2 linked regions of the Oryzias latipes genome follow. The protein of the gene in region 2 purifies or fractionates together with the protein of the main gene of each other region. This does not show direct contact. Links are inferred from orthologs where the notes say so. Each region holds a gene or a part of one and is shown on either strand. Other genes may lie near its edges.

The links.
Region 1: the proteins of abl1 (region 2) and shc1 purify together in Homo sapiens (affinity purification with western blotting; 5 studies listed by BioGRID, with this or other methods). This does not show direct contact. The link is inferred for Oryzias latipes from reciprocal best matches to the Homo sapiens genes ABL1 and SHC1.

Annotation. Positions count from the first base shown.
Region 1 is NC_019874.2:18,323,991-18,326,962, forward strand, and holds the end of shc1 (SHC-transforming protein 1), read right to left. Parts: intron 2,457-2,972; coding exon 2,399-2,456; intron 2,148-2,398; coding exon 2,031-2,147; intron 1,357-2,030; coding exon 1,121-1,356; intron 1,009-1,120; coding exon 880-1,008; 3' UTR 736-879; downstream 1-735. UniProt on the Homo sapiens protein: Signaling adapter that couples activated growth factor receptors to signaling pathways. Participates in a signaling cascade initiated by activated KIT and KITLG/SCF.
Region 2 is NC_019870.2:12,798,278-12,801,232, forward strand, and holds the end of abl1 (tyrosine-protein kinase ABL1), read right to left. Parts: coding exon 1,983-2,955; 3' UTR 555-1,982; downstream 1-554. UniProt on the Homo sapiens protein: Non-receptor tyrosine-protein kinase that plays a role in many key processes linked to cell growth and survival such as cytoskeleton remodeling in response to extracellular stimuli, cell motility and adhesion, receptor endocytosis, autophagy, DNA damage response and apoptosis.

The sequences.
Region 1 (2,972 bases), on a different chromosome or scaffold from region 2:
TGATCTTTGACATGACACATGGTTTGGAGTGTGTGGTCCAAAGGTGTGTGTGTGCAAAGGGATTAGAAGGATGCAGCTCTTTTGATCCTCCTGCATACAAACGTCCAGTGAGTGATGAGAACAGATATATATATATATATATATATATATATATATATATATATATATATATATATATATATATATATATATATATATATAAAAAAAAGAACACAAAGGATGGTCTTTAGCATAGCAGTCCCAGTTTTGGGCTCAGGTTTTCCTCCAGCAGTTCAAAAGACCTTAAAAGAGAAGTAGCTCGAGGAGGAGGGACTTTCCTGATAAGATAGGAGGGACACTTTTGTCTGCATATTCATCTGCTAGACTTGTCTTAAGGTCAGAGTTGCCGAAGTCCTCTTGCGACACTTGGAGGAAGAGGTTTAGTCGGGTGCAGAAAAAGTTTCAGAATCCAGTTTGTTTTTGTCTTAAATGCTCCAGCAACAGTCTGAGGGCAGAAGGGTTTGCCTCTTTTCAAAGTGTCTCACTCTGCATCCATCCGTGATCCTCTGCAGTTCAACTACATTAGTGGGTATTCATGATGGAGAGTCAACATTGTTCTTTAAAATTAGATTGCATTTGTTTCCTGTTTCACAGTAAGCAGAGAAATTGCAGCAGTGCTTCTCCGTGCTGGAGGACGGCACCTGATATTGTTGAGAGATTGCAGGTCACAGTTTGGCAGAAAAATGTTACAGGAGTGATGATGTTCTTTCTTTATTTTTGGTTGTCTGTGCTGCTTGTGTGTTCATTTAGACTTATTCTGCGTTCATTCAATAGATGTTGCTGAAAACGTGTGTTTGTTAGGATCTTCTGTTGGAGTGAGTATTTCATTGGTGTGTGGTTTCAGGCTCTGCGTTCCACTGGCTGCTGCAGATAGACCTCACTCCCAGCCGACACGATGGGAAGTCTGTTGTCCAAGTGGTAACTGATCAGGTGGCTGACACTTCCAAACCGGTGATCTTTTGTGCGCACCTATAGGAAAAAGAAAAAACAATACACTTAATGTGTTTGCATCCATTTTTATGGAAAGTATTGCCTCTCCCCCCTGTTTGACTTTTTCTGTTGCACTCCCACCATGACTCACCACTCCTTCTGGATCCACCAGCAGCAGGTGTTTGGGTTGACCCCCCTGCTGCCCGGTAAGAACATATTGTCCAGGCGTGGTACCGGATTCCCGCACCAGGAAATCACCATCTCTGGTCAGAAGTCTCTCTGCCTCCCTGCGAGTTAAACTGCCATGGAACCAGATTTCATTCTGCAGCTGCTGCACCATAGGGGGCGCCGATGTCCCAGAGACCCCGAGGGCATCATCAAGCGGTTCTTCAATTATACAAATGAAAATGTCAGGAAAATGATCCTAAAAAGGGTTTTCTGTGTTAAGTTATTAATTATAATTAATCAAAAATGATTAATAAGGCACTGTACAAAAGCCCAGGCTCACCAAAGAGATTCACAGGTAAAAACAAACAACAATAGAATAAAAATAAAAAGCAATTGAACAATGATGTAGTCAATTAAAACTGTTAAACAAACAAATGAATAAAAAAACATCCTTAGTTTGGCTCAAGTAATTTTTTTTTTCTTTTCTTATAAGCAATAAACTTACTATAAAACTGAGTTTTATTTTATCCTGTCAACCATGTTGACAGGATAAAATAAAACTATTACAATGTTTGTCTAAAAAGTCTTCTTTCCTTATTTTCTTTCCTCAGGAGAAAGCTGGCCACTTCAGTGTAAAGTACAAACCACTTTGCTCATCTCTAAAGATATCTATTAACCCCAATTCTTTCCATATTGTAAAATAGAATATCATAATTGCCAGTCATTTTCCTTCGCATTGACTCCCATTTAGAAGAAATCAAGCCACTGATGAACTTTCCCGTCGAGTTTCCCAGAAAACCACTCATCTGGGTTTAAATGTTTTACATAAAGGCCTCCTTTTGTTCTAGATTTATCAGGTTAATAAATAACATATTAACATGGGAGACACTCACTCATGTCGAAGGCGTCTCTGTTAGCATTTCCATTTGCAGCAAGCGGAGGACGAGGTTTATCCACATTGACATATGAAGGGTCATCAAACAGCTCTCGAGTTCCTTCTTTAGCACCCACTAAAAAATAAAAAATAAAAAAGAGAGAGACAGAAGCTGACACGAGTGACCTTATCTTAAGTTTTCATTTCAAAGAAGCAGCAACATGGTGGAGCTGAGAAAGAAAGAAAAAAATGGAGCAGAAAAACACATCTTTAAGCTGTGGCACTATCAAAACTGTTAGATGGGACTGAAATAAATGGATTAAACAGAGGGGGATGTTAAAGTATAATAGAAATGACTGCAGTCAGACAAAGGAAACACGAGCTCACCTGGTAACGGGGGCAGCGGCTGCTTGTGAATGTCATTCTGGCCCTGCTGTCCATAGAGCTACAAACAAACGTATTCCACCAAATGATATGAGCTCTTGCATCATGTAATCATCTTCAAATAAAGTACACATTTGCACAATAAAAACACCAAAGAACATGGTAGCATTTGAGAGATTTCACACATTCCTACTAAAACTGCATTAAAGTCCAGCTGAAGCTGAAGCCAAAGTCAAATAAATATAATGACTTCATAATTTGTCTTTGGGGAGACAAACCTTTATCTGAATAAGAAGTTCCAGCATGCTGTCAGCACCAGTTGTGCAACCAATTCAGGAAATGTTTCACAGATAACATCAGTTTTGCTCATAAGTCAGACACTTTTTCAACTGCAGTCTGATTCTGAAGGATGAACTTCAAAATAGAATACTAGTGAATGTGAAGATGTTAAAAGGTCTAAATCTTACTGATTTGAGCACACATCGTGGATACAACAGTTTTTCACCGAGATACAAGTAGGGCAGTGCTGAATCATTGCAGATTGTGGGTGTTCATACTTCAGACCATAAAAAAACAC
Region 2 (2,955 bases):
CCTGCCTGCACACTACTGATGCTGGGGATTTATTATGAAGGAGAGGAAGACGAATGACTAGATGTGCAGTGTATATATATATATATATATGTCAGCAAATGTCAATTCCTCTCATGTCTATTCGGAGTAGATGATGGGCAGGTTTGTTTTATTCGATTCCCCAACGTCAAGGTGGCCCCTGTATTTGGGGTAAACCTACATTGCTGTCTTGATTTTTTGGGGGAGAATTAGGTTTGCTATTGTGGAAAATGGAAGGGTGGGTGGGCGGGCTGGGGGTTTTTACTTCCTGTGTCCAACCTCTTTAAAGTTTTGAGTGACCACATCCTGCTTTTGTCTGTCCACAAAAATGAATGGAAAAAAAAAAACGTACATATGTATAAATTTTTAAGGAGCTGTGCTAACATTTAAATGCGTTCTTGCGTGTATATGATTTTAAATTGTTGACATTTTGATTTAAAAATATTCTAGCCAGAAAAATAAATTATAACCAAAAGTCTGTGTCTGTGATGATATATATATTTACAGATGGGATGAAATCACCAGATTTTGCAGTATAATTCAAGTAAAACTGTATTTTATTGCCACAAAAATTGCACCGAGGTTAGAGACATACAAACAAAAAAATAAAACACAAATAAAGGCCAAGTTGTCTATGAATTGGTGATTGAGGCTTTGACAAATCAGAGTAGTGGTATGTTTGGTGGGATAGGGGCAACTAAAGTACCATGCTGAAGTCAGGTAGCGATGAGTTTTGTCCTCAGGCATCGCAGTCAGACAGGGCATACAGGAAGACATGATTACAAGACAAAATACTGAAAGTTCACAAAATAAGGAACATGCGTAGCACTGAAATCTTGTAATTGTCACCCCCTCCCCTTACCCCTGCGAGACATTTTGTGAGAGGGGCAACATTTCAGTCCAGTGTTCCCCCCCGCCCCCCCAGAACATGCACACTAACACGTTTGCATTTGTTTTTCTAAGATTGAGGGACCTCTGCAACAGCATTTGGACAGTGTGACAAGACGAAGGCCTGACAGAATCATGGAGTCCATTTGTTAGATCACATAAAATCAAATAGCAATCTGCTGCAAGGCCAAGTTCCTTTTGATGGCTTTGTGATTGACAAATCAAAAACTTGTGCATACATATATACTGTGTATATATATATTTATATATACATATATATTTTTTTAAAAAGGTCCCATCTAAGGACAGTAAAAAAAATTATAGATCCACTGAGTTGCAGATCATGCACCCTGCTCCCCCTCCAGTACAGACTGCAGACAAAACATTTTTGGTATGGTAAACAGTAAAAACATCCAGGAATCTGCAAATGCAAGTGTTAAGACTAAGACTGCCATATTAATAGAGTTTTAAGGCACTGTTCGATACCAGAGTGTGCAGAGAAACATGAAGCTAGAGGCTCATTCTGTCTCGCATTCTTACTCGATAAGTTTTCAAAAAAAGAACAATTAAAAAAATAAAGTTAAACAAAATAAAAACATCCATCCAAACCAGACACTGCCTCTGCACACAATGACACACACACACACGATGCAAAGCTACAGAAAATTGATGTGCTGGACAGAGGCAAACTATTTGATCCATTCCAACAATTTCTTTTGAGTCAAGAGATAAAAGGGAAAAGTCATTGTCGCAGCATGAATGAAAACAGTGTCAGAAACACACACGCGCACACACACACACAAAATATAGGACATCTCATTTCCAAAAGAAATATGGGTGAAGAATTGGCCCCACACTATGGCCAGCTATGTGCATTCATAGTGGAGGCATATGATGACCTCCACAGTTTCATCAACTGTAACCACAGGATGCGTTAGCGCCGACTGAGGAGGGAGTTTTACGTCAATGCTGCTCCCCATCGTCTTTCATTCTCCAGTAACACTGGCTCCTAAAGGATAGTGTAACAAATAACATATATCAGTTTCCTGTCTTGGAAAGTTTACAGTTTCATGGCGCTACCTCTGAACAATGTCACTGATCTCCTTGACGGAGGACAGCAGCTTGCTGAAGTCCTGCTGCAGGTTGGAGGCCCCTGTGGCAGTTGGGCAGATCTGAAGCTCACACAAGCTGTTTTCGAGTTTGTTGATGGCCTCTCTGAATGCAAACTTGTTCCTCATTTGCTGGATGGAGTCAACGTAGCTCATGCAGTATTTGGAAAGGTTCTTGCCGGCCTCCAGCACCGCGTTGTGGCTGCCCGTTTGCTCAGAGTTGCGGGAGATGGCGGTACGCAGCAGCTCGGCTCCCTCCAGCACCATCTCACGTGTCACAGCTGAGTTTGGGGTGCGCTCCGACGCCTGGCGGGGCGCAGTCTTGCGAAGCGAGCGCCGGGTATTCACTAGAGGGGTAAATGCGGATGAGCTTAGCTCCCCTGGGGATGTGGGAGAGCTGATCATTGACGCAGAGCTCTTTAAAGGCAGAGGTTTAGAGATGGAGCTTAGCGGCAGTTTTTTGGAGCCTAGATCACTAGCAGAGGCGGTGTGGTGAAGATCGGAGGGGAAAGGAGGGCCCTTTCCTCTAACGTCTGAAGGAGATGATGAGGGGGATGATGATGGGGAAGGGAGCTCTTGAGTTGGGCTTCGGGACACCTTCCCCATTTTGACACTAGAAGGCGGGGGTGGAGCTGGCTTAGGTCTCTGCAACTTTCCTCTCTCTTTGACCGATGAGTCTGTAGAGTGCTTGTTCCTGCGAGCCCTGCACTCATCTCCAGCTGCCCCTAAAGCGGGATACGCGCTGGACTTTAGAAACTCAGGATGAAGGACACTTACTTTAGAGTTCTCCTGGCCTTGGACACCTGGTCTCTTGACCACCTTAGGTGTCAACGCCTGGGGGCTGGAGCCAGGACTGGTATCAGCATCTTTATTCAGGAAAACAGAGGAAATGTCTGGTAGTGTGTTCAGGCGCGGTGGGGGAGTCAGGGTACCCTTTCGA